2 linked regions of the Drosophila melanogaster genome follow. The protein of the gene in region 2 purifies or fractionates together with the protein of the main gene of each other region. This does not show direct contact. Each region holds a gene or a part of one and is shown on either strand. Other genes may lie near its edges.

The links. The genes of interacting proteins can lie anywhere in the genome.
Region 1: the proteins of aPKC (region 2) and l(2)gl purify together in Drosophila melanogaster (affinity purification with western blotting; 6 studies listed by BioGRID, with this or other methods). This does not show direct contact.

What each region holds. Positions count from the first base shown.
Region 1 is NT_033779.5:18,332-23,287, forward strand, and holds the start of l(2)gl (lethal (2) giant larvae), read right to left. Parts: upstream 3,046-4,956; 5' UTR 2,735-3,045; intron 2,643-2,734; 5' UTR 2,500-2,642; intron 1,690-2,499; exon of another isoform or gene 1,685-1,689; 5' UTR 1,614-1,684; coding exon of another isoform or gene 1,554-1,613; 5' UTR 1,549-1,553; intron 240-1,548; exon of another isoform or gene 1-239. Other genes in the region: Ir21a (ionotropic receptor 21a), read right to left, coding at 3,588-4,356, 4,412-4,604, 4,663-4,956. UniProt on the Drosophila melanogaster protein: Essential for the development of polarized epithelia, for cell polarity associated with asymmetric cell division of neuroblasts during development, and for oocyte polarity formation.
Region 2 is NT_033778.4:14,955,417-14,960,231, forward strand, and holds the start of aPKC (atypical protein kinase C), read right to left. Parts: upstream 3,041-4,815; 5' UTR 2,828-3,040; intron 1-2,827. UniProt on the Drosophila melanogaster protein: Serine/threonine protein kinase which is required for apico-basal cell polarity in the germ line as well as in epithelial and neural precursor cells, for epithelial planar cell polarity and for cell proliferation.

The DNA of each region.
Region 1 (4,956 bases), on a different chromosome or scaffold from region 2:
AACACGCATAAGTTTGTATGTATTCTTATGTTGAGAAACGCCCGCACTGTTCTTCACATCGTTGCTTTAAATGAGAATAAATGAAATAAACGTGTCAACCAAGAACACACAGATAATAATACGACCGGTCAGAGCTTAACCGTGTATCTGTTTTATAAAACGTGAACAATATTATTAGCCCAAAACGATATGCGCGTCATTTTAACACACACAAAGTCGCGATCGGTGGGTCTAGTGTGCCCGTGTATCTCTATCGAAAAAATCATATATTTTTTAGAAGGTATATTTTCCATGACTGACTGGAATGGGTGGAGAACATCGCTTTGGGAGTGAAACTCCGCTATAAATTGTCATTTGTTTTTATAGCAACCTTTTTGATATGGTCGCCAACTTTTATATAATTATAATAATAATTTTTGTAATTAATCACCGCTGTCGCACGAAAAATTTAGGAAATGTGCCAACGAGCGGAATTTTTCGGAACGATCGATGTTTTACCATAACCTGCTATATAAATTGTGAACCACATTTTCAACACAAAACTAGATGTGCTTCATTTATAACGCAATGTCGTGATTTTGTGGGCAGTGTGACCATGTCCAATCTGCGTTCAAGTAAAACCATATTTAGTGACACAAACTTTCCATTACAAAATACCAAACAACTTTAAATTTGTTGTTGCATCAAACTTTTTCTTTCTATACATATAATATTGCGGGTGTATTTGGATTTCTAACGCAGTTACAGGCGAATAAACTCATTTTCTTTTGACTTTAAAATCTTATCAATTTTACGCCGTCTATGACATACTTATTTTGTACCTGAAATAAGGGTGTTTGTGAAACCAAGCCACTTACCCAACCCATTAGGTACATAAACGCAATCTTATCAGCTCCCCCCTCTTTCTGGAGCTGGATGGCGATTACCTCTGACCTACTTTTATTTGTTGAATAACATGTTTATACTAACATAGGATAAAAAAAATTTCATATACGTATATTTATTAAACTATTATGGTAATAGGGAAACATCTATGGTATATTTAATTCGAAAATATTTAAAAGGAATGGACAACATTACGAGCACAACGATATAATAGAATTTTTAAAGTAGCCAATACACAAAAATATGCTGTGGAAAAAGACACTCACAAAATCAACCAAGCTTCAGGTACCTCCTCATATTTGGCACCGCATAGAAGGAGTGCACAAAAGAAACGAGCAAAAAAGCACCGTAACCTTTTTTATGCGGTGCTTTGTGGCGCGAGTCTACAAAATACTGTGTGTGTATGCGGTTTACTTGTAGTTGCGGTGGAAAAAATTTACCTAAATGTTAATGCCCAAAAGTATGCACATAGGAGAAGACATAACAAAAGATTCAAAAGGAGGTATTTATTTATTCCTCATAAATTATAAGCTTTCTTCTAACTTCCATAAAAATGTATTTACCACCCAAGATCAAAATAAATGACCCCACAAAATATACCAATCGGCTACAAATACTTAAAAAAAAAAAAATAGAACGGAAAGAGAAAATTGTTTGTTTTACCTTACGATGTAGCGTTGTCTGTCAGCACTGGGCTGCTGCCCTTTTCCTCTGATAAACTTTAACATGATTGGTTATGCTCTTGTGGTGGTTTGGTTTTGATGAATAAATAAGTATATTAATTGTGGCCGAATTTATTCTAAACTGAAAATAATAATAAAAATTAATCAAATTTTCAATAAGTAAAAAATTAAAAAGGAACTTGTATATTTTTTCACTCTTATGAATAAAACCGAGAATTTAAATTTAGGTAATACTATTAATACCTTTTATAGATACGGACGATACGTTTAATATTATTCTGGTATACTTTAATCAAAATTTGTTTAACAAAAAGGGTTTTACATTCTTGAAGTCATAGGAAAATCAGTGGACAGATAGATCTTGGCTCCCAAGATTTTCCAAACTAGTTGTGCTTATTTTCTTAAAACTTCAAAGATTTGCATGTAGGCAGTTTAATAAACATGTTTGTACATATGTATATGTACATTAGGAAAAATGAAATGATGAGCGATCTGTACTCTTTGCAATGTGTATGTATGTACATATGTACCTCCCTTTAATGAACTAGCAATTCCGTCACGCACACGAAATATTTTTTTATTTGTAAATCTTTTTTAAAGTTTGTTTAAACAATTTAGTTACTATTAAAGCTCTAAAATTCATAAATAAATAATAATAAATGTATTAATTAGGACAAAAAACAACTTAAAACATATACGTTTATTTTTGTAAAAGCGTTTTAGGCAAACGCTAGCTGGTCGGTACTAATATTTTTTCTAAGACTGTATACCGTATACATACATTTATGTACGTAGGTATGTATCCGTGAGTAAGCTGAGGTGCAAAACCGTATCACCATTTGCTTTTCGGCTGATAACCAATACCAAGTAAGTCAACTGTTTCCCAAATGTATCTGCATAACAAGGTGATGACCTAATTTTGAGTACATACCGATCTTTACAGTTGACCAGCTTTGCGATTGCATACCGGTATCTGTTTATTCACATATACACACACAAATTGCGTGTTAGACAGACAGCAAAATGACGACTGTTAACTGTTGGCGTGGCTGACTCACCGACTACGCCTCTATGCTAAGAACATACATATTTGTGGACACTTTATTTAAGAAGTTTGAAATATAAATCAATTGCCTAATCAGTAATACTGTTGTTGAGCCCTTTACCTTTATGTATTTCCGTTTGTACGGTTAAGGCGGTGGCCGAGTAATTTTTTGAACTATTTTATTTGCTCACCATCACGCATAAGTTTGTATGTATTCTTATGTTGAGAAACGCCCGCACTGTTCTTCACATCGTTGCTTTAAATGAGAATAAATGAAATAAACGTGTCAACCAAGAACACACAGATAATAATACGACCGGTCAGAGCTTAACCGTGTATCTGTTTTATAAAACGTGAACAATATTATTAGCCCAAAACGATATGCGCGTCATTTTAACACACACAAAGTCGCGATCGGTGGGTCTAGTGTGCCCGTGTATCTCTATCGAAAAAATCATATATTTTTTAGAAGGTATATTTACCATGACTGACTGGAATGGGTGGAGAACATCGCTTTGGGAGTGAAACTCCGCTATAAATTGCCATTTGTTTTTATAGCAACCTTTTTGATATGGTCGCCAACTTTTATATAATTATAATAATTTTTGTATATATAATCATAATAATATCATATAATAATCACCGCTGTCGCACGAAAAATTTAGAAAATGTGCCAACGAGCGGAATTTTTCGGAACGATCGATGTTTTACCATAACCTGCTATATAAATTGTGAACCACTTTCTTAACACAAAACTAGATGTGCTTCATTTATAACGCAATGTTGTGATTTGTGGGCAGTGTGACCATGTCCAATCCGCTTTCAAGTAAAACCATATATTGCCACAAACTTTCCCATACAAAATACCAAACAACTGTAAAATTTGTTGTTGCATCAAACTTTTTATTTCAATACATATAATTTCATGTGCACTAAAGTGATTATTTTGTATTTGCATTTAAAAATTTCTGTGATTAATTGTCAATACGGAATGTATGTGAGGAAGGATTGCCGTCGTTATCCATCTGGTCCATAAATTCGTCTAAACGCTGCAGAGATTCAAGAGCTTCCCGAGATTCTTCGTCTTCAATATTATTTAATTTTGCAGAACTGTTTGGAAACTCAGTGTGGACGATGTCTAGCTGACCATGATCTGTTTCAGGTGCCCCGTAGCTTCCGTATATTTCCCGAAGCGTTGCGCGGGTAAGATTTAACTCGCGCATTCCAAAACTCATTTTTTGAGCAACCTCAGCAGCCTCGCGTCTATTGGCCTTTCGCTTATCATGGGAAAGTTGCTCGGCATTAGTGCGAAGCATTGACCCACTTGACGCCGACGACCAAGAGGAGGCGGCCGACTTGCGGGAGCGCTTGATTATTTGGCGGCACTTGTTGGTAATCCCACCGACGATCTCGGATACCAGGGCTGTGGCTCCTAGAAAGTAGCCCAGTGCCATGAGCAGGAACATTCCTTCTGTGTCCGCTGTAGTCAATTGGCGCTCTTCCTGAATTATTTCGCGTAAGGAATTCGAAGAACTTGCCTGGAGCAGGCGTCCTGAAGATGATCGCTGCATGACCCAGCTTACCTCGTTATTGATTTTTGCAATAAGACCACTTTGCTGGGCAAGTAATATCATCGAGTCGATTTTGATTTTATACACTGACTCTCGGGGAAACAGAAATCCTATTTGGAAAAGAGCAAAACACTCTTCACTCAAATGAAGCGCCGATCGGCGGGAAATATTTCTAAAAGAGGATATCGTTTACGGTGGGAAGATTAAAAATAAAGGATCGATCTTACTCATCTGAAAAATTTGACTGCACCAGGTATTCGAGCTGAGCCTTTGAGCCAAGAAAGGCATAGTTCCAAAAGAAGCTCTGGGTAACGTTGCCAATGCCCTCATCTACGGACCCGACAAACTCCATTTTCTTGTACAATCTAGACGTCGGTATATGGGTCGAGTTCTGGAACCAGGTCTCCCAGCCACCATTGTCTTTAAGTAAGAAGCCCAAATATTATATACAAATGTAGCGAGCCTAACCTTTTCTTACTCAGGGTTCCAACGCGAAAGAACAATCCCAGCAGATCCAACACAGAGTCAACGGTGTCCGGAAAAGCTGGCAACGTTACGAATGCTATGATGGAACCTGTGTAGCAAGATGTAATGATAATTGTAAAGAGCCAATATGCTCCAATTAGAAGGCGTGTGGAATTTTTCCGCGTGTTGCTCCACGAGTATTTTCCGGTGAAGGAGAAAGCGTTTGTGAACATGCCAAATACATACCAGAACATGTTTTCTACCTCACCCCAATTACCCATTAAATGGCTAAGTGTCAAACGGTCGG
Region 2 (4,815 bases):
TATTGGTTGCCTGCTTGTTTGTCCAGGATGGGAACAGAGCATCCCAAACAACCCAACAGTCCAGCCACCTACACTAAAGCCTTCCTGGCTCCATCCATAGAAACCTCTTTTGTTGGACTAACCAAAGTCCTAAAATCCCACAGCTCTAAGCTAGATTAAAGCTGATTTACAAACAAGAAAATTATTTAACAAGCTTAAAGTACACGCTTTGTTTTAAAGTTTTTAAGCCGATTAGTTAATTACTGCATAGGGAAAGTGCCCACAATAGATGTCTTTAAATCCTATTCTATTTATACTTCTTGATTTCAATTTGTTACATGATTAAGTTAAGTTTTCTGTTTTTTGTTTTCGGTAATTTAATATATTTTCACTGCATTGCATGGCCTAATAAAAATGCTGCCATAAATGTTTAATATCAATAAAGCTGCGTTTTTAAAGCAAAAAGCTATTGATTAGATATTCCCAATAGCTATTGTTTATTATTTACGGCCTCATTCAAGAATTTCAATGGCCTAAATAAGCACACGACTGCTTACATCAGAAACCCATCAAATTTGGATATTTAGCCCGCCACGCCCACGAATTATTGACCATTCCAGCGCCTCAATCATCCGCCCACTCTTGAACTTTGGCAAAGAAGCGTTTGGGGAGATGGGTTTCCTGTGAAACCATAACGATAAACCTGAGCAGGCGATGTTCGCCAAAAGGACTGCGGCACCATCTTTGGGCCAACAGATACCAGATACTCCGGACCAGAGGCATCAATAGTTAAACATCAATTTGGCTTTTCCGAGTGACGTCAAGCGGGGCGAGTTGCCACCTGCCGCCCACCTCGACCTCCAGTGGATATAAAATTTCACACAGCTTAAAAAAGAGAAAAGCGGCAAAATGGAAATGCCATAAAGTTCCCACTTACAGAAAGAATGCCCATCTGCGAAATGTACCTTAAAACGTGAATAAAGACGCTAGTTTATTCTATAAATATTAACAACTTCATGGATGGATACAAATTATATTAAAACAGAGCTAAACAGATAGTAATCGAGCTTCAGGGATCTAGAAAAATTTGACACTGTTGTGTATGTGCAACTTAAACAAATTTAAATAAAATGTAAGTATTGAGACTCGTAAAGCTTAAAGTTTAAGCATAAGGTCCTCAAAGTTGTACATTTTACTGTATGATTAATAATATAATATAATTATAGCTTTTTCTCTCTGCATCAACGATATGATATAGGCATCCGTAATGAGGCATATACATATGACCAGCAACCAATTCCGCCCACATCCGTACATTTGCACTGATCCCCTAACAATACCGAAATGGGCTTTCTTGTTTGCTGAACTAACAATAATTTCATTAAGCCCAATGGCATCATTAAAATTTGCCCAACAATCATAATGGGGCCAGCTAGCAAGCGAACTGGGTACCGAATCTGCCAGAGGCTGCATAGGCAAACCTAAAATAAAAGAAAAGGAACACAGACCAAAAACAGAACCCCAGGGTACCCAAAAAAGCAGTGGAAATTTGCTGATTTAACTTTGGCAAAAGGAGACGCACACACACCTGGTTCGAGTGAAAGCCTTCGGGCCAAAAAGAAACGAACAAGTTTAAATGGCAGGGCGACAGCTTGGCCAGCAAAACGCTTTCCGCAAAGAATGAATAAAAAGAAATTGTTTCGCCCTGCAGCTTCTTACTAGCCCACTGACTCATATTATATACATATGTATATGTACATAAATATATATAGTATATGTGCATATATGCCTTACATATATGTATGTATGCATACGAAATGGATCCATCTCGTCTATATAGTATAGTCGGTTTGGGCCAAGTTTGGGCAACCAGACGGTCGCCGAGGTGCAAGAAGCGCTTGATGAAGTGCAAATGCCTGAGGTCAAGTTTAGGGTGGGGATTCTCGCACACCATCACACACTCGCACACACACACACACACTGCCTCATTTTGCGTCATATGTGTTTGCAAGTGTGTGTGAGTGTGCGAGTGTGTGTGGTTTTGTTTGCCAGTGTCTGGCGCACAGCAGCCAAAAAATTTGGGAAAAAAGTGAACAGCGTGATGCAGAAAAAGTGTAAGGGAACCCACAAAAATGGAAATCAATTCTTTGATTTTTTTATCGTGGTTGCTCCCCTTTGTCTAAGTGCAAAATGATAGAGGCATAGGAAATGGTATGTTTTTAAAGCGTTCTAGAACTTTAATTGTATTGCACTGAGGTATTTAAAATATAAAAGAAAAATGCTTAGTGTGTGGGATTTCACCTGCGTTTTTGTCTGCGTTTTGTTTTTTACGTTTTTATACTTTAAGAAAGTGAATAAAAGCAAGGATTTTATTAATAGAAACTAAAAAACCATATTTATATTCAATTTTTTTTTTAACAAGAATGAATTATTATTATTAATACTTTATAAAGGGGTAAATTATAATCTTTCAAAATATATTGATTTTGCGAGATACGGTCATAAATTCCATCACATCTCTGGGGTAACTCTTTCATAAAGTTTTTACTTCATTAGCAGCACTAAAAAACGTTCATTAAAGAAACATTCACAAAATTATGTTAATCATTCCACGTCCATTGCCTTTCCACCTCCCCATTTTCCGACCCCTTCTCTCAGCGGAAAATTGTATGGCAACTAATCAGAAATGTACGACAACTTCGGCAGAACAGTCAAAAAATATTGCACAGGGCCAATTGATTTTTTCCGCAAGATTTTCGTGACTTGCCGAAGAGCGAGTGGAAATGTTTAAGAAAATAATTATATGGAATTATGTTATTCACTGATTTGTACTCCTTTTCCGACATACAACTTCGATTTTTCCGCTTTCTTTTGTTAATTCACAGCGCAGAAACTCGATTTGCCGTTTAGCTGTGCAAAATCTTGTATATTTGTATACATATATATGTATATGTATATATATATCTATAATTATGTATTTGTTTGTAAGGCCCGGGGAGTTATATCTTCGAATCGAAATCCGCACGGCACTTCCACACAGGCGAGCGGCCAACGCGCGAGTGAAATGCCGATGCAGAGAAGTATGCTAGGGAAATTTTTCGGGGAGAATGTAGCGGAAAGCCATGGAGAAAGCTATTGAGAGCGAGTCTCGGCGAATGGAAAAAGTAAAGAGCAAGAGCGAAAAAAGAAACTAGATAATTTGAGAAAAAATGTTTTGTTCTTTTAGTAGTTTCTTAGTAGACGTTTTTAATGAATGACTATAAAAAAATTATTATTAAAAAAAATATTTTATAACAATTCATTTTAGGTAAGCTATTTTGCTATGACTGTCTCGAAAATGAAGAAATGAAAAATATAATTTTTAAAAACATTTTTTATTCCAACACGTAAACAGAGTAAGAGTAAAGTAAGAATTCTATAATCTGAAATTACAATTCCGGATCCGTTTCGATGGATGAAGGTGATCCAAATGATCCGGAACTGAGTGGGGCAGATGTTACTAAAATTCAGTCCTCGTCCAAGGATTGGAAAAAGAAAATTTCCCTTCCCCGCTCTTTCTAGCTCCAAACAGCCTGTCGTGGCCTTGTGAATATACTTCACTTTTGGAGAGAGAGCGAAAATAAAAGCCGCAGACCGGCGCTTTAGCATTGCCATCTTAGATTCAATGGATGGCAATACCTTTCTCTTTGGCTCAGCTGTTTTTTGTGGCATCTGGGGAAATGCTCTCTCGCTCTCTCTCTCTCTCTGTCCTTCCATCTATTCTCTGTTGGCCATCGCTGTCTCGCTCTTGGGTAATGGCATCTTGTGTATCGACCTTATGAGCTGCAAAAAAAGTTCTTCGGACCTGGACAAAAGTTTTTCATGTACATATGCGTATGTGTGTGAGTGTGTGCCGGACAGCGTTGCCATATTGCAGGCGCATAAATTATACCGTTAGCTTACAGATTCTAACTTTTTGTATTGCTTTGTTTTTGGGAGAGCTGCAGAGGTTTTTGCTGGGCGGAGATGAAGCCGGAAGGTGAAGCGAAGTTCTACGGAAACACACTTTCCAACATAAGAAAAAATTAAAAAAAAAAAACGAAACCAAAAAACAAGAGAAGCAACAACAGAGAAGTCAAAACACGGGCTTGTATAAATGCAAAACACACTCACCAACAGCCATTTACTAATCAACACAACAACAATAAGCACACAAACAGAAAACATGTGCGGCATACAAACACACAGACAGGACATCCTAACATATGCAGGAGTGCGTGTAACGGTAACGTAATACCTTGACAATGTCCCTCTCCCGTACGCACACACACACAGTCGCAGGAAAACAGACGCACACAGAATACTTTTAATACATTTTAAGCCGCATTTTTTCACACGTGGCCACATAACACAAGAATAAAAACAAGAAAGAATGAGACTGTCAAGTGTTGCGACAGAAAAGCTACCCACTACCAGGCAATTGAATATTTAAGTAGCATAATTTTTGGGATATGTCCTGAAAAATAGATGAATAAAGAACTTGGAGTACGCTTGTTTTTAACGAATACAGCATACCCCTTGAAAAGTACCGGGTATGCAACAACAACAACCAACATGTTGTCCTTACACACTGTTCTTTTTTGTCATTCGGAGATATGTATGTACATATGTGAAGATGTGGACTGGCCACAAAATATCAGGAAGCCTGCTCCCCAGAACAAAAACAAAGCCGCATAAAAAGGGTAGCGGAAACTGTAACACCCTCTCCATCAAAACCCCACACCAGCCACGAACTTTGTTTAGTGCGACTGGCAGTTATCATATCTGCTGGGCCGTTAGTTGGCTTTTTTCTTGTTT